6 linked regions of the Xenopus tropicalis genome follow. The protein of the gene in region 4 binds, or shares a complex with, the protein of the main gene of each other region. Links are inferred from orthologs where the notes say so. Each region holds a gene or a part of one and is shown on either strand. Other genes may lie near its edges. The genes, in order: pigc, pigh, pigq, piga, pigp and pigy.

Region 1 (3,927 bases), on a different chromosome or scaffold from region 4:
TAACAATGGGCAAATCTGCACAAGTGTGGTCACCCAAAGCAACAGTCAGCAATTTAAATTACCCAATTTGAAATCCCATTATCTCACAATGACAAAAGTCAAACTAACTCCTAATATTAGAGAAAATCAACACAGAAAATGTGGAATTTCTTTCTTCTGATCACACAAAAGATATGGTAAAAATAAAAGAAGCAATGTCCTACGCTACCTTTATAATACCATGAGCAAAATGCATATGCTTTAACAGCTTCATGGAATATGTTTCTCTTCTGAATTGTGTTTACTCTGGTGTGAGACAGGCAGGGGGTAGTGGCAGAGATTTACTGACCTGGAAATATTCTATTTGCAGATCAAAATGACCTGTGTTTTTAATCCTCCACCTGATAACAGCACTGCCACGTTGCACTGAGCTTTTTTCAAAGGTAGTTATGTTCTATGTACTTAATAAACAAAGCAGGCTAAACAGTAATCAAGAGACATTTTGCTAAATGTTAGTAGGCACATTTATTTTATAACGAAATGGAAAAGTAGAATACAATTTAATCTTTATGAAAACTTCAGACTCTTTATAATGTAAAAAAAAAAAAAAAAAATCAGTCAGATGAAGCTCAAAAGTAAACAATTTATTGTAAGTGACTTCTTTAGGTTTGCCATGTGGTATAATTAGTCTGGGCACTATTCCGGGCACCTTTGTTAATGGGAATAAATAACTATCTTGCTCTGGACTGCAGCTTATCAAATTTTTGTAGGAAGAAACCAGGTGTTGGTTCACACATTTGACATTGACATATACAGTACAATTCTTCTGCGGAGGAAGCATGCATATACATTGCCGGAACTACACTGCAAATCCATTAAGTAACATGGGTTGTTCTGACCAAACAGAGGGTCTTTTTCAAGTGTAAAAGATTCAAGGGACAAACACAGATTTAAAAAGGAAAATATATGTCTAAAACACATTGGCAAAAAATGAGCACAATAAAAAAAACAAAAAAAAAAAACAACTTATGCTTAAAGGAAAACTATACCCACAAACAATGTAGGTCTCTATAAAAATATATTGCATAAAACAACTCATATGTAAAACCCTGCTTCATCTAAATAAACCATTTTCATAAAAATATACTTTTTTTTAGCAATATGTGCTATTGGGTACTGCTAAATAGAAAATTACCATTTTAAGAAGTAATGGCCGCCTCCTTGGATCATAGTATTAACGGTGCACACAAACAAGCCAAGGCACACATACATGCTAGGCCACATCAGCCAATTATTGGGCAGAGTTCTGCCCATATTATTAACATAATATAAACTATCTGTTGGTTAAGTATTCATTCTGGAGGTATAGTTTTGCTTTAAAATGTATTTTGCCATATACTCCTAATTTTTTTCCATTATAAAGCACTGTTTGAAAAGCCCCTCCTTTATAGACAGGGCAATTTGTTCAGAGATCCTTATTTACCTTCAAACAAATATACAATCCCCTCCCTTCCCTAAGGTGCAGGGTTTGAACAGGAGCTTCTTAGTGGAACAGGAAGTGCTAAAATGAAACTGGTTTCCTTTTCTTATTTTTTTCTTAACGGTTTCTTCATTAAAACAACAGACCTAAGGAATGTATTAACCTGCCTATTACACAGTAACTTGGATAATTCCATCTAATGAAAGGCAACTGCTAAATTTTAGCCTTGCCTCAAACATAGGGGCTGATTTACTAACCCATGAATCCGAAGGGGAAAAATTCAGATTGGAAAACGAACATTTTGCGATTTTTTCGTCGCCGTTACGACTTTTCGTAAATTATCGCGACTTTTTCGTAACCATTACGACTTGCACGAATTGTCGCGACTTTTTCGTAGCCGTTACGATTTGCTCGTATCTTGTCGCGACTTTTTCGTATTGAGCGCTCGTAAACTGCGGGCAAAACTTTCAGACTTAGCATGATTTTGGAAGCCTCCCATAGGACTCAATGGCACTCTGCAGCTCCAACCCGGCCCAAGGGAAGTCTCCCATAGGGCTCAATGGCACTCTGCAGCTCCAACCTGGCCCAAGGAAAGTCTCCCATAGGGCTCAATGGCACTCTGCAGCTCCAACCTGGCCCAAGGAAAGTCTCCCATAGGGCTCAATGGCACTCTGCAGCTCCAACCCGGCTCCAAGACCCTTGATAATGATAATGGTCTTAGGAGGAGACCGAAACGTTGGCCTGTTTTAACAGCATGTTTAAATAAAAGTAACGTTTTAATCTTTAAAAAATATCCTGGTGTGCACCCAATTTTTGGATAATTAGACACATGGAGGTAGCACCCAGGTGATTTATATTAGGGGTTTGGTGTGCTGAAAATTTTGTGGACTGTAATATATATATATATATATATATATATATATATATAGATGAGAGAGAGAGAGAAGGAGCAAGACTACCAACTGGCAACTTAAGAGACAGTATATAAAGGAGGCAGCAGTTACATATTCAAGAGCTCACTTACAAAGTGCAGGGCTGTTGCAAACTACAATTTTGTACTTTTTTCCGCACACTACAGTAGCAAGCCTTTGACTTATGGAACCTACTTTCTGCCGTTCTGTGCGGACACCTACGCAGAGAAGCACTAGCCATATTCCCCCCACCCCATATGTCAAGGCTAATATTGTCGCAACAAACAAAATGAAATGTATAGCAAACCGCAGTGACAGTAGGCAGGTTACAATGTAGGGAAAAACAATGGAGAGACCCTGTGGGTAGCTACCAACTCAAAAGAAAGCTGCCAGTAAGTGGGTACCTGATTTCCTAAAGCCAGGCTTCCGCGTTTCTCCAGCCCCTTGCAACCTTTGGCTGAGCAGCCAATCAAGAGCGGTCGTATCTTGAAATGCTATTGGCTGTCAGAACCCTTTCACTAGAAACAGGAAAGGCCACAATAGTTGCCAGGGGCGCCTTGATTCCAATTCGCTTAACACGAGTCTCCGCCCCCAGTCCATTACAGAGGCCTTGTTGTTCAAAAGAGCTGAGGCATCCTTTCTGGACCAAACCAATGCATTTGAAGGGGGAGGGTTGTAAAGGCTACGTCTGATTCGCTAACCTCGGCCGGAGTGACGCGTCTCCTTCCGCCTAAGCTGGCTGTGCAGTTGGAGGCATTCGCAGGGGATCGGCCGCGTTGGAGGATTGTAGCGTGGTGTGGGCAGTGCTTTTACGAAGGGGAAGTAGGGGAAACAGTGGCACGGCTCTCCCCGGCGCCATACACCAACGGGGACATTTTCAATGGTGGCTTGTACGACTAGTGCTCATTAAAGTACACGGGAAATGCCAGCGAGGATGAGAAAATACGTCCGGGAAAGATGACGAAACGGGTGTTTATTATATTCTGCCTCTTTCTGGTTGGCTCATGGTGAGTGCTTAGGGCCCTGCGCCTGTCTGTTGGAGCGTAAATGCCCACATTGCTGTTACTCGCTGACAGGTAGTCTCGCTGTCATGTACCCTGAATGAAGGGGGGGGGGGGTCTCCCATCATTGTGTGAAAAGCAGTGTCCTAGGAGTCCTGGTCTTAGTATAAATGTAACACTATGCCATTACACCAACAATAATTTCACTTTTTCTTCATGTTCATATGGATGAATTAAATGGAATCTTCTCCTAAAATGTATAATGAAATTGTAATTCCCAGCAGCTTTACAGTATACATTGATTTAAAACACTCAGTGATTTTTAAGCTATTTCTAAATGTAATTGCTGGCTGAAAGTTGTAGCTGCCCTGCTGCTTATATTCTCTGCACTGCTGGCTGTGACTCCTGAAACAATGTAGCAGCATGCATGTCAAAGATTGCTTAGAGTTCTACTTTCTTTCATTATGCCAAAACCGTTTTGCCCCTTAAATAATAACTGGCTAGCTAAGAAAACTTTTCCTTTCGTTAGTACACAGAGAATACCTCTTGGCTTTTA
Region 2 (4,005 bases), on a different chromosome or scaffold from region 4:
ATTTTGCAAGTTCTCCCACTTAGAAATCATGGAGGGGTCTGAAATTCACATTGTAGGTGCATTCCCACTGTGAGAGACAGCATTAAAAAAAAAAAATCAGAAAATCACATTGTATGATTTTTAAAGAATTTATTTGTATTGCACTGTTGCACATAAGTATTTGAACACCTGAGAATCAGGTGTTAATATTTGGTACAGAAACCTTTGTTTGCAATTACAGAGGTTAAACGTTTCCTGTAGTTCTTGACCAGGTTTGCACACACTGCAACAGGGATTTTGGCCCACTCCTCCACACAGATCTCCGCTAGATCTGTCAGGTTTCGGGGCTGTTGCTGAGCAACATGGAGTTTCAGCTCCCTCCAAAGATTTTCTATTGGATTTAGGTCTGGAGACTGGCTAGGCCACTCCAGAACCTTGATATGCCTCTTACAGAGCCACTCCTTGGTTATCCTGGCTGCGTGCTTCGGGTCATATCATCTTCAATGCTCTGACCGAGGGAAGGAGGTTGTTGCTCAAAATCTGACAATACATGGCCCCATTCATCCTCTCCTTAATACAGTGCAGTCATCCTGTCCCCTTTGCAGAAAAGCACCCCCAAAGCATGATATTACCACCCCCATGCTTCACAGTAGGGATGGTGTTCTTGGGATGCAACTCATGCTTATTTTTCCTCCAAACACGGCGGGTGAAGTTCAGACCAAAAAGTTCTACTTTGGTCTCATCTGACCACATGACTTTCTCCCATGCCTCCTCTGGATCATCCAGATGGTCATTGGCAAACTTCAGACGGGCCTGGACATGTGATTACTTGAGCACGGGAACCTTCCGTGCAGGTGGACTATTAAGGCTGATGCCACACGTGGCGTTTTTACACTGCGTTTTTTCTCAGCCTAAAAACGCCGCACAAGCCACACAGCCTCTGACTATGGCGTTTTTCAGCCTAGTACTGGTGACGTAGCAAATCCCGTTTCCATGGTGCTAACAGTGCAAAATAGTAAAAAACGCTGCGTATTTCAGCTAGGTCTGGCAGCTGCCTTTGTGTATACATAGGAATAGCTTGCTTTGCAAATACTGGCGTATTTCAGCCAACGCTTGAAAAATCTGTGCTAAGGCGTTTTCTAGCGTATTTCCGCATTGTGTGGTTTGCTTCGAGTCTTTTCAAGTTATTTCTATGGATGATGATATCAGGCGTTTTTCAGCCGCTGAGAGAATTAGAAAATACGCAGCGTAAAAACGCCACGTGTGGCATCAGCCTTAAAGGCAGAGTAACAGGTCTTTGAGAGCCAGAATTCTTGCTGATGGCCAGGTGTTCAAATACTTATGTGCAGAAGTGCAATACAAATAAATTCTTTAAAAATCATACAATGTGATTTCCTGAATGTTTTTTTTAATGCCGTCTCTCACAGCGGGAATGCAACTACAATGTGGATTTCAGACCCCTCCATGATTTCTAAGTGAGAGAACTTGCAAAATTTCAGGGTGTTCAAATACTTATGTTCCTCACTGTAATTAGAGAGTACAAATATAAATGCAATAGGACAATATTACAAAGAAATATAAGTCAGAAATGAACAAACAGAAATGAAGAATATTTATGTGCCTAATTTCTGGCACGGTGACATGTGGCGTAAAGTCCACTTCTATTCGCTTGATTTTTGTTAGCAGGTGGATATATCTCTTTCACTGCATCTACTCTGTATTTAGAGAACAGGGTTTTACAAAATCTGTTGCAACAAGGCTCATGGTGCACCCATTACTCCCTTTGGCAGTATGCAGAAAGTCACTGGGTGGAATTTATAAACACACAGCAACTAATCAAGTGTATGCTTTCACTGTACTACCTGCAACTGGTCAAAAATAGCTAATCACTGATTGGTTGCACTAAATGGATTTGTTGCATCCCCTGTTGCAGCAGTGTTTTTGGGGCTGCTAGTGCCCAAGGCAACATCCCCAGTGCAGCCGCCTCACCTGTTTAGCACTGGAGCAGGCCCGAAGCAGAGGCATTGCTAGTGAAGAGAAAGAGCACTAGAAGAGCTGAATTTGGCTCCTAGAGTTATTTGCAGTCTGTGGTAACTGGCAGCACTCTGCCCCATGAGGCAAGGTTCTGATTGGTTGCTATGGGTTACTATCCAGGGGCAAACTTGCCTAGTGCTTATAAATGACCCCATCATTTCATTTTGTGCTTCCACACAACAAAGCGAATTTTTCCTTCATTGACTCTCATGAGGCACAACACACAATTGGAAAATACACTTTCGCCATAAAAGTAAATACAAACTTTACTGAGCTCCCTGCCTTTCACCCCTGTTCACACAGCGAGACTCTCCCTTTTATAAAGCCTAATAAATAATATAAACCTGCCGCGCCCATACTACTCCGCTAGGCGGAGGGAGGCAGAGTGGCAGGCGAGTGAAGGACACAACAATCTAATACAAACGAAGCAGCTAATAAACAAAAGGCATGTTTGTAACCCGCCAGACCTGCGTGTAAGCGAAAATCGCATACGCTGCGAGCCATACTGCACAGGTGCACGACGTTACGCTTCGCACCGACAGCTTAGGGCAGACGACACTGAACTCCCTGCAGGAGACGCTGTGGGCTTCTTGGTGCAGAGTGATTTTCTCGCCGTGCGCGTCCAGGAACTCTTTAGTTCCCATTCTCCTCGCTCTGTTCTACAGCTTCTCCGGCATCAAAACGGAGTGCGGACAATTCTGGTTAAGCCCTTAGTTTCAGAGAGCCTCTGGTTTGGTAGAAAACTAAGGGTTACTTCAGTTTTGCCCATCCGGCCATACAAAAGCCACGCCCCTTTCCATAGCCTATGTGGAGTGAGGGTTTGTATATGGGCGTTCTGTGCAGTAGTGCGTGAAGGTTACCGGATAAACAGGGGACGTGAAATGACTGCATCGTTTTACAAAACAGAGAAAGGGAAATGATCTGTGATTATGAGATGTATTGATTTGACATTCCTAAAGTTTAAAATGTTGCTTATATGTTTTGAAATATATATATAAAAATAAAAAAACACAACTAATAAAGGTAATTCAGAAACGATGTGCAACAACATAAAATTGCTGAGAGTGGCGATACTATAAATACGTACGTTACAACTCTCCTATAAGCTGTAGGAGCAGTATATATATTACATTACAAACTTTTCATCTTGGAGTGGTCATGATTAATTACTTGCATAGTCATGATAGGTTTCCCTGTCTCCTTCCCTACTCTTCCTGCCCTGCCTGTGTGTGCCATACTCTGCCTGCCCTATGCTGCCTGTGTGTGCCATAATCTGCCTGCCCTATGCTGCCTGTGTGTGCCATAATCTGCTTGCCCTATGCTGCCCGTGTGTGCCATACTATGCCTGCCCTATGCTGCCTGTGTGTGCCATACTCTGCCTGCCGGCTCTACCCTGACTGTCTGTGCCATACTCTGCCTGCCCGGCTCTACCCTGACTGTCTGTGCCATACTCTGCCTGCCCTGGTCTACCCTGCCTGTGTGTGCCATACTCTGTCTGCCCTCTGCTGCCTGTGTGTGCCATACTCTGCCTGCCCTATGCTGCCTGTGTGTGCCATACTCTGCCTGCCTAGCTCTGCCCTGACTGTCTGTGCCATACTCTGCCTGCCCTGGTCGACCCTGCCTGTGTGTGCCATACTCTGCTTGCCCTGCTCTACAGTGTCTGTGTGTGCCATACTCTGTCTGCCCTCTGCTGCCTGTGTGTGCCATACTATGCCTGCCCTATGCTGCCTGTGTGTGCCATACTCTGCATGCCCGGCTCTACCCTGACTGTGCCATACTCTGCCTGCCCTGGTCTACCCTGCCTGTGTGTGCCATACTCTGCCTGCCCTGCTCTACAGTGTCTGTGTGTGCCATACTCTGTCTGCCCTCTGCTACCTGTGTGTGCCATACTCTGCCTGCCCTACCCTGCCTGTGCATGCCATACTCTGCGTGACCTATGCTCCCTGTGTGCACCATACTCTGCCTGCCCTATGCTCCCTGTGTGTGCCATAT
Region 3 (3,933 bases), on a different chromosome or scaffold from region 4:
AGTCTCCACAGGGTATAGCAACAGATTCCTCTGGACGCCTTTTAGTTGCAGAATACACTTCTGGATCAGTTCTGGCATTTCATGTAGACAGAGCTTATCGTATCCACAAAGTTCAACAAGCCAATGGCTTGAAGGGGCCAACCCATATATGTGCCACTCCAGACGGGGGCTTTGCAGTGAGTGAGGAATGTGGGGATATCAAGCGATTTACAAGCAATCTAAAACTTGCTTGCTCTCTCTCAAAAACTTATCAGCACACATTTGGGAACCCAGTAGGAATATGTGCGGATCCAGAAGGCAATATCATGGTTGCCGACCAACAGCACAGAAATGTCACCCTTTTCCCTTCAAGTGGGTCACCTATCTGTGTGGTATCAAAGGGCCTGAGTAGGCCAACTGGCATAGCTTGCTCACCTCTTGGACAATTATTTGTAATTGATTCTGCTGACAACTCGGTGAAGGTTTATAAGTACCGGGTACGGCCTTATTATAACCCAACCAGCCCCAGGAGATCAGTGGAAAATCCCTAAGCAAATATAGGAAAACAGCATATAGATTTTAGAAAGTGCATGGGCATGTATACGATCATTTGTATGTCATTATATATGAGGAAATATATATATGTGTGTATGTGAATTATACATGAAAAAAAGCTATTTTGTAAATTCTAAACACTGATAAAAATAAAGGTGGCTTGTCATTAAAGGAACTGTAACACCAAAAAATGAAAGAGCTTTAAAGTAATAAAAATATAATGCACTGTTGCCCTGCACTGGTACAACTGGTGTGTTTGCTACAGTAACACTACTATAATTTATATAATAAGCTGCTGTGTAGCCCCGGGGGCAGCCATTCAAGCTGGAAAAAAGGAGAAAAGGCACAGGTTACATAGCAGATAACAGAAAAGTTCTGTAGAATACAATAGTGTTTTATCTGTTATCTGCTATGTGTCTGTGCCTTTTCTCCTTTGAATGGCTGCCCCCATGGCTACATAGCAGCTTATTTATATAAATTATAGTAGAATTTCTGAAGTAAACATACAACTTTTACCAGTGCAGGGCAGCAGTACATTATATTTTATTTACTTTTATACACTTTCATTTTTTGGTGTTACTGTTCCTTTAAGGTGTTGTTTAAAAAAGTGGGGGAAGCAATTTTCTTTGCACATTTTACTTTTTGGGCTGTTCCTCACTTCACTCATGGTATACCACTTGTCACAGCCTTAGTATTTTGCTAGAGACCAATCAATGCTCTGCTGCTAGCGGTGCTGTGCTAGTTGCACATTTAAAGGGTAATTATGGGCCGTGGAGTTTGTTCACTCTGCCTTTACCACCGACAGCTACTGTTTAGTGGGGCTCTACAGAGCACAGTGCCTAGGGAATTCGCCCCTGCTTGCTCTGCCCTTGGGTGCCACATTACATATGGGTCATTTACTCTATCACAGAATAACCAACATCACCAATCGCACACATCTGCCTGTGACAGCCCCATAATGAGTACTGTCCCAGCTTAGCAAATGAGTGCTACATAGTGCATTAGTGCATCCTATCAGCTGCATCCCTGAGGGCACGGCATGAATGTGTTGTGTGATTGGGAGGTTCCTCTTGTTATCTGAAGGACAAGCTTGCCCTGATGTTACACACTCAACAAAGTGGCAAAGCAGCCGGGGACTCATCAGTGAGTATTAACAATTTATATACAGAGCAACTGACATAACAACCTCATCCCTTAGCTATAATTTACTTTTTATTACAAAAGAACTAGGTTATCCATACAATACTCTTTACATTGTTGTGAGTTATTAAGATTGTGTACTCATTTTGTGTTATATATAATCTCAGAATATGCCTTAGAGAGAGCTTTATAAATTGGTGATATATGTTATGGTAACTTTTATGCTCTTTTTCAGGTATTAATTGTTGATTTTACTTTTATTATATCACTTTGTATGATAATCTGATACTCTGAGTTGATAATTTACCTGTTATATGTTGTATACAACAATAAAAAAATACTCACATAAAAAAGAAAGGGTATAATGAATGTTTGCCCCCTTATCCTAATTCAAGTCCTGCAGGGCAACGACAAAATCTAGCCTGGCCCCAAAAAGCAGTAGCCTAAGAGCCCTCTTTATAAAGCACTGAAGCAGCTTCAAACAGGGATGGTGAAGTAGTTTTTGAAATGGCAATGGAAATGTTGGAATAGTAAACCTATTGATGGTTAGTGATATACTAGGGGTGTACCAAGATTGGGGCGGACACTATTTTGACCAAAAAAAGTGTGGGTGACCATGTTGCAACACTAGGGATTAGAGTCCTAGCTCCCCAGGACTAGGTTAGAAGCCTAGTGTCAAATTAGTTGAAACAATTAAAGATGCAAACCAAAAGCAAACCCTTAATGGGCAACTAATAACCAAAAATAGTTTCCTCCAACCAGTGGTCAGGGATAATGAAGGGAACATTCTGAGTTAAAGAAACTTTTTAAGTATTTTTAAGTATTTTGTGGGAAAAAAACCCACAGTAACACTACATGGCTGGGAGCTCACTCCCAGTGCAGGCACCATTTTGGGGGCATACATAAGTTTAATAAGCAAGTGCCCCAGTTCGCCCATTATGCGTGTGACATAACAGTGGGAAGCTTCTTCTTGCGATCCTACCTCACATCAAGTCTGGACTGCGATTCAAAATAGGCCCTTGCATTTCAAGCACATAGAGGCCATAACAGCCCCTTACCAGGTCACTAAATAATTACTGTCTATGGCACCTTACAGCAGCACCTCTGGCATTTGCCACAATCTACAGATTGCCAGACCTGCCTGATATGCACGCACATGCTGTAGCTGTAAGGCTGATGCCACACATAGGGGCACATTTACAAAGGCACGAATGCTCGAGCGTTCATGCGAACGCTCCGAGCGTATTTTCGCAGTTTTTTTCTGGCGTCCGGACGACTTTTTCGTATATCGCACGACTTTTTCGGACGTTTGCACGAAAAAATCGGAAAGATTTTACCACTGTTTACAATTGTTCGGTACGAAAATTTCGTGACTTTTGGATCGCCAATACGATATTTTCGTGACTAATACGATATTTTCGTGACTAATACGATTTTTTCGTAAGCGTTTTCGTGATATTTACGATCTTCAGAAATTTTCGTTTCCAATCCAATTTTTTCCCATTCGTGATTCGGATTCGTGGATTAGTAAATGTGCCCCATAGTATATGGCGTATATTTTCAGCAAGCGGAAAAACGCTTGCTGAAAATATCGCCATATGCTCCTACCTGTGCCTGCACCCGAATGAATGGAATACGCTTGGGTGCAGGCACATGTAGCTGATATCTGCCGAAGACGTTAAGGCTGATGCCACACGTGGCGTTTTTACGCTGCGTTTTTTCTCAGCCTAAAAACGCCGCACAAGCCACACAGCCCCTGACTATGGCGTTTTTCAGCCTAGTACTGGTGATGTAGCAAATCCCGTTTCCATGGTTCTAATAGTGCAAAATAGTAAAAAACGCTACGTATTTCAGCTAGGTCTGGCAGCTGCCTTTGCGTATACATAGGAATAGCTTGCTTTGCAAATACTGGCGTATTTCAGCCAATGCTTGAAAAATCCGTGCTAAGGCGTTTTCTAGCGTATTTCCACATTGTGGTTTGCTTCAAGTCTTTTCAAGTTATTTCTATGGATGATGATATCAGGCGTTTTTCAGCCGCTGAGAGAATTAGAAAATACGCAGCGTAAAAACGCCACGTGTGGCATCAGCCTAAGTCTCGTGTTTTTTGGCGGATATCGGCTACATGTGCCTGCACCCGAGCTGTAGCCAGAAGTTTCGGCAACTAATCACCCCATGTGTCTTCACCCTAATGAGTGCCAGTCAGACTTGCAATGGCTGTAACTGCTGCCCACAAGGGCTTGTTCTAATGCGAGGGGGGGG
Region 4 (3,500 bases):
TTGCATAGGCAGCATAATGACGGTACATAAAGCAGGGAACAATACCCTCACTTTAATCAGCAGTGGAAGACCTGTCATTTACCTTGTTTCAAAAATACAAATATACTTTCCTTTAACTTCTACATTTAAAAATAACTCTAAAATATTGATTATGCTCTGTATTTTGTATACCTGAGCATCTATGTGTATTCTCCTAACCACTCCATGTTCAACTGGGTTGCCACCTCACTTTAATACCAGTCCCATATTGAATCCACATCCTGCATGGCTAGCAAGTAATTAAGATGCATGCTGCATGGCTGCACATAAATCAGTTCAGTCTGCAGCATTCAGCTAAATAAATTGCTAATTAGCCATGCAGGATGTGGATTCAATATATTGCTGAGGTGGTAACCCTATGTTAGACACTTTATGCCAGTGCATAAAGGGGAATTAATAACCTATTGTACATGAGCCAAATAAACAGGGTCTTTAGGGAAATGTGTTCTGCCCACTAATTGATGATGATAAAAATGATGAACTATGTTTCTGGCAAGTTATTGGCACATTTATGCTTGCATATGAAGGACCCATTTGCTGGTGCTCATGGAACTATTTATTTTCTGTCTGACTCGAAACGCCTGAAAGGGATAAGAAGGCTGAGTAAAGGCAAACAGCTGCTTAGAAGGAATAAACAATATAAATATATGATAATAACCTGTATTATGACAGAATATAACAAAGAGCTATTAAAGCGTGGCATAATAATAAATGGGGGTTATAATGTATGAAAGTTTCAATTTAATTCCAACTCTCGAGGACAAGTGATTTAATCAGATTCTCCTTCTCATGGAATGTGCGTATGGGACAGCAGCTGATTCCAGGGGAACGGTGTGAAGGTAAAAACCAAACCATCTGCTTGCCTATTTAATAAAATACCAGTTTTTTTTTTTTTTTTTTTAAAACAGAGAATTGGCAGAATATATTTCTGATTTATTTGGCTCATGTTGATAAGAGCAAGACACTGCCCCTTTAGTTTGGATCTGACAACCCTAGGAGGTAGGTAAATCAGTAAACTCATTCATGTACTGTACCTTTTATCAACACTTTGCAAATTAGCCTCAGTGCAGCCATAGCACCCATAGGTACTAACCTGGCTCTCCATACTTCTTACAGTAAACTAATAAAAGCTAGATAAGCTGCTATGGGTAACTGCACTGGGCAAATTTGCCCGGTTTTAGTAAATAAGCCCCCGTGTCTTCATTAGCCTGTCGAGCTGAAATACAGACTTTAGACATACAAAGTACTTAAGTTAAGGGGCTACTTTTGCACGATCAGCCCCATAAAAAAAAATGAAAGCTAGATAAGCTGCTATGGGTAACTGCAGTGGGCAGATTTGCCCGGTTTTAGTAAATAAGCCCCCATGACTTCATTAGCCTGTCGAGCTGTAATACAGACTTCAAACATACAAAGTGCTTCAGTTAAGGGGCTACTCTTGCACAATCAAAAAATCTATGGGCCCCTGTCTGACTGATACTTGCCAGATAATCAGCCAGATATTTATCAGGTGTGTTAGAAAGGACTGAATCAGGGTGCGGATGTGGCCAAACAATCAGACCTTCCTGATACAGCTCAGTGCATTGTTGGTCCAATTTGGTTAAACTTGGATCTGACCTTGGTCAGCTTTAGACAAGATGGGACCCCATGCTGTAACGGAAGTGCAGGGCCCCAATATAAGGGCAGAGTAACTTTTCAAATGTGTGCAATTTGCAATGCCTTCAGCTGTTGTTGGGCTACACCCAGTTAGTTTGTGGTTGTCCATAGTCATCAATAAGTTGTATTCTAACAATGGCTAAAAGGCCAAAGTATATATGAAAATATCATCCATGTTTTGTACTTTTACCAATAATTTCCCACGCCCAATGGGCCTCTTTTATTGGAGGCCTAGCACAAATGCTTTTCATTACCCAAAGATCAGCCCTGTGCACTTTGTAGGAAAGTAAAACCTCAATGCTACGGGCAGAGGCCAACAGAAATGTATAACAATATGTATAACAGTATAACTGTTAAAAGTAGAATGGAAGAAATTGGAAATGATGCCAAATAGTAAGCATCAGATTGCATTAGGCAGCACTTCGCACTGAGAATACTGTACAAATCATTCAGTTGTTCACCAAATATATCAATGTTCTGCAGAAAGGTCAGATGGTTCTTTACAGGCATCAGGGTCCCTCTTTCTGGTGAGTTCATGTTTCCTTTCAGTGGAATATTGTCTCAACCAGGCACCATTTGGCCCTGTTGCATTCACAGCAATGTCAATAGAAGAATCTGGAGTCATCCATCTCAGAAAGTTCAGCAACAGGAAGCTTACAATGGCAAAAAGGGCAAAAATACAGCCAGTCACTACTCCGCAGTGCCTCACAAGTCGCTCAAGCCTCTGGTCCATTGGTAGGACAACTTCCTGGGCCACTCGATTGTATACCTACAAGGAGACAGATATAACGTGAAGATTATCTTACAGAATCTCCTTCAACGTAATTCTTGGCAAAAAAAACATCTTTATAGCCATAATACTTTCTAAATTACAGATTAGTAGCAACTAAAAGTGGTCATACATGACCCAACCTTGTACAGCGCCCAACCTTCTTTTGTTGATTTCTAGTGGCAGGGAAGAGGACCTGAAGGGTAAATATCAGCAACAAGGGGGAACTATATTTTCTATTACCTGAACCAGTCTTTATAACTAGGTTGCACTAATCTATGCAACCTAATCTATGCATTCTAGGAAGATTAAAAGAATGATTAGTGATTATATTTGTAACCTCATTGAACTGGCATTTGATTTTAACCAGATCACCATCTGCCTGGTATTTGTTAATTTGGCTGCCTGGTATTTGTTTTTGTTGGCTTTGCTTCACTTTCCACCCCCAGAGTCCAAAAAACATCAGGCTATAGGCTGATGCCACACAGGCCGATTCTCGGCCTATGGGGAAAATGCAGGCCTGAAACAGCCCCTCCACTGGCATCAGCCTCCTACCTTGCCTGCACCAGAACCATTGTGTAGAACTGGCTGCAAGCAAAAGCGGCGGATATTGCTCTAAAATGCAGACTCTTGTGTTTCTTTGCTGATATCTGCAGTGTGTGACTGCACCTAGGCTATGGTTCCAGGTGCAGGCTGATGCCTGTTGAGGGACTGATTCTTAGCCTGCATTTTTCCACGGCCCCCATGTGGCATCAGCCTTAGTGTGAATGTCTGCGGTAGGGTATTTAGTTGTATGCACTCGGGGCAGGGACGCCAGTAAATGATAATAACAGTCAGCATCACAGTCTACAGAAAAAAGGGCATGAAGAATAAATACATTCAGGCTCACGTCGCTATCTTCCCAACAGTATTTGAAGCAAGGCAGCTTACACATACTTTTTCAGTCCTCTCAGCCACATCTCTCCATGTATAAAATGTGCTCACTGTTCTGTGGATTGTTTCAGGGCTCAGCAGTTCCCCAGCCAGCAGCCTGTTAATG
Region 5 (2,666 bases), about 17 Mb from region 4:
CGAGACAAAAGTTGAACTTTTTGGAAGGTGCGTGTCCCGTTACATCTGGCGTAAAAGTAACACAGCATTTCAGAAAAAGAACATCATACCAACAGTAAAATATGGTGGTGGTAGTGTGATGGTCTGGGGTTGTTTTGCTGCTTCAGGACCTGGAAGGCGTGCTGTGATAGATGGAACCATGAATTCTACTGTCTACCAAAAAATCCTGAAGGAGAATGTCTGGCCATCTGTTCGTCAACTCAAGCTGAAGCGATCTTGGGTGCTGCAGCAGGACAATGACCCAAAACACACCAGCAAATCCACCTCTGAATGGCTGAAGAAAAACAAAATGAAGACTTTGGAGTGGCCTAGTCAAAGTCCTGACCTGAATCCTATTGAGATGTTGTGGCATGACCTTAAAAAGGCGGTTCATGCTAGAAAACCCTCAAATAAAGCTGAATTACAACAATTCTGCAAAGATGAGTGGGCCAAAATTCCTCCAGAGCGCTGTAAAATACTTGTTGCAAGTTATCGCAAACGCTTGATTGCAGTTATTGCTGCTAAGGGTGGCCCAACCAGTTATTAGGTTCAGGGGGCAATTACTTTTTCACACAGGGCCATGTAGGTTTGGATTTTTTTTCTCCCTAAATAATAAAAACCCTCATTTAAAAACTGCATTTTGTGTTTACTTGTGTTATCTTTGACTAATAGTTAAATGTGTTTGATGATCAGAAACATTTTGTGTGACAAACATGCAAAAGAATAAGAAATCAGGAAGGGGGCAAATAGTTTTTCACACCACTGTATATATATATATATATATATATATATATATATATACACACACACACACATATACACTAGATTCTATATACTGTAGCCAGAGTCCCACTTACCTGTTACAGTGTGTATGGAGTCTAGGGGAGCAGTGCTCATCATGTTTATACCAAACAGAAAGATATAGGCGATGCCGAACACAACGAGGAGGTAGACGGGCACTGCCACAGCCCAATATCTATAAACACAATTTGTAAAAGAAACTGAAATGCCAGACAACAAAGGCATTACTATCAGTCTGCAATTACTATACTGTAGGTAGGACTTTGTGGCTGCACACAATATGTATCCTGTTATCCTACTGACATACTGTGCCACATTTACTAACAAATATGCTCTAATTTGTGCAGAGTAACTGATCACAGATGTGCATTCATTCTTCTGTCTGCAGGAGTCTGATTAAAGCTAATTGTTTTACTGAAGGCTTTGGGTGCAATGGGGCTAATATACCTGACAGGGTTGGACTGGGCCGCCGGGACACCAGGAGCAGCCCAGACCCGACCCTTGCCAGCGCTCCCCTGGCCTACGGTGTTCCTCCCCTGATGCGTTAAACTTAGGCGCGTTTAGGGGAGGACGTTGGGCAGAGCCACTGTGGGTGGTTAGGGGGTGTAGTGGGGGCCCCTAGGGGATGCAGGGGATGCGGCTGGCAGGGCACCTCCAGTGCCCCTGGGTCGGCAGCCCCGGTGGGCCCTGCACCCCCCAGTCCGACCCTGATGCCCGATGTTAGTAAATGATCCCCTTCTGTGTATCTGGGGCTACAAAGACTTTTCAGACTGACACTATACCATGTAAACCTGCAGCCATCCTGCTTTGCCCAGAGAGAAAGGGAACACAGTGCATACAGTACAGCTATGTGTATAGTGCTTACATCAGTACTTACTTTTGGGGCCAGTACGTCAGTCCTAATGAGTGTAACCAAGACTCTGGGATGAAGCCCCACGTTAGGTACAGAACTGAAAGTACAAAACAGCAGCTCAGTCACAAATACCAGAAAGACCAATTAAATAAGTGCAGTAGGGTGCAAATGCCCAAAAGTAACTGTATCCTAGATTGTGACCAGTGTTTTGTGGCATAGCTGAGAGGTGGCTATTAGGTGCTGTGCAATAATAAACAGAGACTATGGGGCCCCCCAATGGTTTAGTTGGGTAGGCCAAAGGTTTGAGAAGTGCTGGCCCTGTTAGAGGACAGAAGTAAAGAAGTAGTGATGTGCGGGTCAGGGACCTGCAGGTTGGGTGGGCTTGGGCCGGCAGCCACACAACTTTCTTAAGCCCAACCTGACCTTACTTTGCCCGCTTACGCTTCCAAATGTCGCTATTTATTGATTTGTGCCTGTGTGCCCTGGGCCTTTTGTGATGACAGAGATGGTGGGTTGGCCAGGGCTACAAATTCCGAGGCTCGGCGGGTTACTGTCCAGTGCAGATCAACTTTTTGTCGACCCACACATCACTAGTAAAAAGGAGATAGAGGCTGTCAGGTTCTCTGGTGGCCCTGGGGAGCCCAGTCCAAAACTGAAAAGGGGAGCAAGGAGTAATGTGGGGAGCAGTATTGGCCACTACGGTCCCTTGCAATGAGAGGACTGAATGGACATGATATTTCTTTATTTAAGCTTTGATCCATATGAGTGATCCGGAGACAGGTGGTGACCAAAGCTTCAGGGGCACAATAAAACATGTTGTATGGAAGGAGCTTGTTCAGCAGAAGATGGCGGCCTGTACGTCTCACTAGCACAGAACCAACTGCTCCAATACACAATGATATGCAAGTGCTGATACTCACTGAAGCCAAACTGGGAACCCAAATACAGAACGAAGCCATAAATTGCCCTTTCAGGTAGCGGGGACGGGGAATTC
Region 6 (4,097 bases), on a different chromosome or scaffold from region 4:
AACAATTGGGTAAGCTATACCCAGCTCGTCATTAATTAACTCATTGGTAGATTCTTCATATCTAGGGAAAAAAAATGACATATAAACAATCAGATCTGGATCAATGAATGGGGAATCACAGCCGTTTATATTTAATGTCGGGAAATTTGATCACCAAAATCAGTACATTTCAAACCACAAGCGTCATTCCATAATCAATATTATATATATATATATATATATATATCGAGCCAAGGGTGGCACACCGCTTCAATCCTTGTCCCGGGTGCACGGTAAAAGAGTTTAAATATTGAAAAAAAGACCAGCAACACCGGATCTATTGCAAACAATCGATTATATATTGAAAAATACATGAACAGCCAACGTTACGTTTCGGTCCCCGTCGGGACCTTTCTCAAGACCGAAACGTAACGTTGGCTGTTCATGTATTTTTCAATATATAATTGATTGTTTGCAATAGATCCGGTGTTGCTGGTCTTTTTTTCAATATATATATATATATATATATATATATATATATATATATATATATAATATATATAAAATGCATTTAGGAGTTCTAGTTAAGCTTGAAATAGCAAAGAGACATCTGCTTGCTGTTAATAAACTGAATATTTCCCTATACAGAGTACAGGCTTAGGTGTATGGGACACCCTGTTCCCCTGCTGACCTGACTGACTACTTTGAGACTCAAATAAAATGCAGTAGACTGTCCTCAGCCTGCCTTCTCCAGTTACCACAATTCCCCGCACATATAATAAGGAATAGGGAAAATAACATCACTGGGCAATGCATTGTGGGTAATGTAGTTTCTGAGTGCTGTCTGTAAGATGTGGAGAAGTTGTTACAATTTGTAACATCAGTGTTTTAGTCCCTCTTCTTTAATCCTCTTCCCAGGATTTTAAATAATGCAGAAAGAAGGTTAGAAGGTTTAGCAGAAAGAAACAGTTTACAGTGCTAGGTATATTAGGGGTTTCTGTGTTGGGCTCTTTAACAAATTTTGGTTCATAAACTGTAGTTCCCCTTTCAATAAAAATAAGCAGCGATATTTTCAATATAAGCCCTAACATTTGGCTAATGGTTAATATCAATATAGTCTTTCTAAAGGGTAATTAATTAGAAATTATAAATAGAACAATACGTGGCTATAACTTTAAGTCAGAGAAACCCAAGTCTGATGGGACACTTTGCTCAAACTAGGGGCAGCCCAGCACTGCAGGGGGCAGTATCCTTGTATTGTAGCCCGCACCTCTGGGGGGAAGCAATGCTTAGGATCATAGGTGATCTTAATGACCCCCCCACCCAGCAGCAGTATACTGACTGTATCAGAGCCCTTTAACCCAGTGCCAGGTATTTTACCTCAGCGATTTCCTTGAGAGAGGGCAGACCAGGAATTGCAAGAGGGTAGGATCAAACGTCTTGCTGTCCTTCAGGCTCTGTTCCGGGGATCTGGCAACTAAAGAGCAGTGCAAGGGCCGCAGTGTGACAGCTGGCAGGGCGCCAGTGGGACAGGCAGCGTTTAGTTTCCGCTGGACTAAGGTATTATATGTTCTTCCCCATGCCCTGACAGCCAGCATGTTCCACTTTCTGCACAGAAACTGACTGACACACAACCTTTACTTCCCAGGAACGATTCCACCCCTTCTTCCTGTGCAGCACTATAAACAGCCCCTCACACGACACAAAGCAGTCTCAGTGGTTCCTACCATGTGCATGTAACTATATAAACCCACAGCCTGCAAAACCCTCAAAATATATCTGAAAGAGTTGTGATTAAAGTCTTTCTGTAATGTTAAACTACCTTTACTTGATATTATTGCTTGAATCTGGTTTGCCCTTTGATTCCTGCGATCACAGATATGTAACCCATTCACTGCCAGGCGATTTTTCCTTCTGTATTTGTGTTAAACCAGGTACCAGCCCACATTGCCTGACAGGTGGTAGCAATTTAATTTCTAACAGTGCTCAAAATAAGTTATAGGTAAACAGGAATACAGTAACAGTATTCCTGTTAAAAGCAAAAAGCTTTGTTCACTGTGGAATCCTATGGAATTAAGATGTTGTACTGTGTTAGCCATTAAAAACAATGCAGAAAATCTGATACCTTTTATTGGCTGAGTAAGAAAAATTGCAAGCTGTCCAAGCAGGGTCGGACTGGGCCGCTGGGACACCGGGAAAAGTGGGCCCTGGCGGCCCAGACCCGACCCTTGCCGATGCTCCCCCTGCCCGAGTGCTCCTCCCCTGACGTGTTAAATTTACACGCTCGGGGGAGGATGTCAGGTGGGGGGCCCTGCACGGGCACCTACAAGGCCCCTGGGGCGGGAGCCCCAGTGGGCCCTTCACTCCGCAGTCTGACCCTGTGTTGAAGCACCCAGGCCCCTTCGTCAGGCAAAATACAAATGAAAGCTGGAAAGGCACAGCATATATATAGATCATTGAAAAGGTTCATGGGCAATAAATTGAGAACCCTATAGGACACAGAAACAGGGTCGGGCTGGGGGGTGCAGGGCTCACTGGGGCTTCTGCCTCAGGAACCCCAGCCCCCCCCAACCCCTGCAGAGGCCCCAAACACCCTCCGACCATGCTTCTAAAAGAAACTTACCTGCGGTATGTTGGGGGAGGGTGACGGTGGATCGCGGGAGAGCCCTGGGGGAGGGGATCTGGCCCGCCGGGGACCAACAGGTTTTTTTCCCAGTACCCCAGCAGCCCAGTCTGATACTGCACTGAACAGGTTGCGGGTAGTATAGAATGCTGCAGCACAAAGAATCACAGAGTAGGGAGTAGACAAGGTAGAAAGCTACAGCATGGATAAAACAGGGAGGAAGTCAGGGGGAGTATGGAGCTAGTCGGATGGGGTATGTGACAGGTAGGGAGCTGGGGGGGGGCTTCTGTGGTGGGGAGGGAGTTGAACACACACAGATATCTTAAAATGGACACTAGATAAAGATTGTTCTGTCTGCTGCAATTTCCTGTGCACAGGGACATTTTACATTGCTGTGGCTGGATCTTATCTTCCTTATTTTCCATACAAGTTCAGTTCTTCTTCTGACAAACTTTGGGGGCGATTATTCTGAGACCACACACGGTCCAAAAATTGTTTGAGACTAGGTTTTGTATGATTTTATTGATGTGTGTATGGCCAGTTTGTTCTAAGCCAGCAGTAATTAAAACAACATGGCAGCAGGCTAACCGGCTGCAAGGGGTATTTGATCATTAGGGGAGCTGGTTGTCATGAGTGTGCATAGAGAAGCTGGTGAATTACTGTTAGTGTTGCCACCTTTTCTACAAAAAATACCATTCCTTCTCTTGTTGGTAGCTATCTTGTCTATTAGTACTGTTGGAATCAAATTTCAGTTTTATTGGTCAGGCCTGTAAAATAACTGCTGGGAGGCAACTCTATTCATTATATGTCAGGTAGTGGATAGAAAGTAGGGACGCACCGAATCCAGGATTTGGCCAAGATTATGCTTTTTTCGGCTCCTGGCAGAACTGAATCCGAATCTTAAAAATCACGTGACTTTTTGTCACATAAACACGGAAGTTAGAAATTTAACCCTTCCGTATCCTAATTAGCATATGCTAAAAAAAAAGTGCATTCGGTGCATCCCTAATAGAAAGCCAGCGCGCCCTGGGTGGCTTGACTGTTTTCTGGGTTAGGTGGAGTTTAGGGACCTATTTGGTTAGGACAATCCGATGTGGTTGAATTAACAGAACACTAGGGAGCTGTTTTGGTCCTGCACTAATATTTTTCCTTCAACTCAAGCTATCCCAAGAAAGAATAGTAACGCAGTTATATGCACAGACTAAGGGGAGGATAGGGCCAGCAAGCTACTTGTCAGCAAATTGGGAGATAAGGTCAGAGTCTGTAGCCTGAACAGAATCTGATCTAAAAGGGCAGAAGTCTTTTGAGCACCTCATTGTTAAATGTCCCTCATTAGTAAAAGCCAGTAACTAGCAAGGGATTTTTCAGGAATGACTTTTCTATTTAATTAAGCTACCCCTTAAATAGGGAAACAGTTTCAGGCACAAACATATGGGAGGCTAGGGCTAGCAAGCTTTTGGGGCAGCAAAACGGGAGGTAGGGCTTAAGTCTGTAG

Evidence for each region.
Region 1: piga (region 4) and pigc share a complex: the UniProt entries of both Homo sapiens proteins name them as parts of the glycosylphosphatidylinositol-N-acetylglucosaminyltransferase (GPI-GnT) complex. The link is inferred for Xenopus tropicalis from reciprocal best matches to the Homo sapiens genes PIGA and PIGC.
Region 2: piga (region 4) and pigh share a complex: the UniProt entries of both Homo sapiens proteins name them as parts of the glycosylphosphatidylinositol-N-acetylglucosaminyltransferase (GPI-GnT) complex. The link is inferred for Xenopus tropicalis from reciprocal best matches to the Homo sapiens genes PIGA and PIGH.
Region 3: piga (region 4) and pigq share a complex: the UniProt entries of both Homo sapiens proteins name them as parts of the glycosylphosphatidylinositol-N-acetylglucosaminyltransferase (GPI-GnT) complex. The link is inferred for Xenopus tropicalis from reciprocal best matches to the Homo sapiens genes PIGA and PIGQ.
Region 5: piga (region 4) and pigp share a complex: the UniProt entries of both Homo sapiens proteins name them as parts of the glycosylphosphatidylinositol-N-acetylglucosaminyltransferase (GPI-GnT) complex. The link is inferred for Xenopus tropicalis from reciprocal best matches to the Homo sapiens genes PIGA and PIGP.
Region 6: piga (region 4) and pigy share a complex: the UniProt entries of both Homo sapiens proteins name them as parts of the glycosylphosphatidylinositol-N-acetylglucosaminyltransferase (GPI-GnT) complex. The link is inferred for Xenopus tropicalis from reciprocal best matches to the Homo sapiens genes PIGA and PIGY.

The regions. Positions count from the first base shown.
Region 1 is NC_030680.2:107,290,750-107,294,676, reverse strand, and holds the start of pigc (phosphatidylinositol N-acetylglucosaminyltransferase subunit C), read right to left. Parts: upstream 2,801-3,927; 5' UTR 2,775-2,800; intron 1-2,774. Other genes in the region: suco (SUN domain-containing ossification factor), read left to right, coding at 3,328-3,377. UniProt on the Homo sapiens protein: Part of the glycosylphosphatidylinositol-N-acetylglucosaminyltransferase (GPI-GnT) complex that catalyzes the transfer of N-acetylglucosamine from UDP-N-acetylglucosamine to phosphatidylinositol and participates in the first step of GPI biosynthesis.
Region 2 is NC_030681.2:52,816,212-52,820,216, reverse strand, and holds the start of pigh (phosphatidylinositol N-acetylglucosaminyltransferase subunit H), read right to left. Parts: upstream 2,801-4,005; 5' UTR 2,658-2,800; coding exon 2,481-2,657; intron 1-2,480. UniProt on the Homo sapiens protein: Part of the glycosylphosphatidylinositol-N-acetylglucosaminyltransferase (GPI-GnT) complex that catalyzes the transfer of N-acetylglucosamine from UDP-N-acetylglucosamine to phosphatidylinositol and participates in the first step of GPI biosynthesis.
Region 3 is NC_030685.2:21,225,050-21,228,982, forward strand, and holds the start of pigq (phosphatidylinositol N-acetylglucosaminyltransferase subunit Q), read left to right. Parts: upstream 1-1,133; 5' UTR 1,134-1,677; intron 1,678-3,933. Other genes in the region: nhlrc4 (NHL-repeat-containing protein 4), read left to right, coding at 1-530. UniProt on the Homo sapiens protein: Part of the glycosylphosphatidylinositol-N-acetylglucosaminyltransferase (GPI-GnT) complex that catalyzes the transfer of N-acetylglucosamine from UDP-N-acetylglucosamine to phosphatidylinositol and participates in the first step of GPI biosynthesis.
Region 4 is NC_030678.2:29,606,187-29,609,686, forward strand, and holds part of piga (phosphatidylinositol N-acetylglucosaminyltransferase subunit A), read right to left. Parts: coding exon 3,392-3,500; intron 2,462-3,391; coding exon 2,162-2,461; 3' UTR 1-2,161. UniProt on the Homo sapiens protein: Catalytic subunit of the glycosylphosphatidylinositol-N-acetylglucosaminyltransferase (GPI-GnT) complex that catalyzes the transfer of N-acetylglucosamine from UDP-N-acetylglucosamine to phosphatidylinositol and participates in the first step of GPI biosynthesis.
Region 5 is NC_030678.2:12,648,149-12,650,814, reverse strand, and holds part of pigp (phosphatidylinositol N-acetylglucosaminyltransferase subunit P), read right to left. Parts: coding exon 2,593-2,666; intron 1,770-2,592; coding exon 1,697-1,769; intron 995-1,696; coding exon 876-994; intron 1-875. UniProt on the Homo sapiens protein: Part of the glycosylphosphatidylinositol-N-acetylglucosaminyltransferase (GPI-GnT) complex that catalyzes the transfer of N-acetylglucosamine from UDP-N-acetylglucosamine to phosphatidylinositol and participates in the first step of GPI biosynthesis.
Region 6 is NC_030677.2:67,794,317-67,798,413, forward strand, and holds the start of pigy (phosphatidylinositol N-acetylglucosaminyltransferase subunit Y precursor), read right to left. Parts: upstream 2,801-4,097; 5' UTR 2,603-2,800; intron 1,621-2,602; exon of another isoform or gene 1,578-1,620; coding exon of another isoform or gene 1,360-1,577; intron 62-1,359; coding exon of another isoform or gene 1-61. UniProt on the Homo sapiens protein: Part of the glycosylphosphatidylinositol-N-acetylglucosaminyltransferase (GPI-GnT) complex that catalyzes the transfer of N-acetylglucosamine from UDP-N-acetylglucosamine to phosphatidylinositol and participates in the first step of GPI biosynthesis.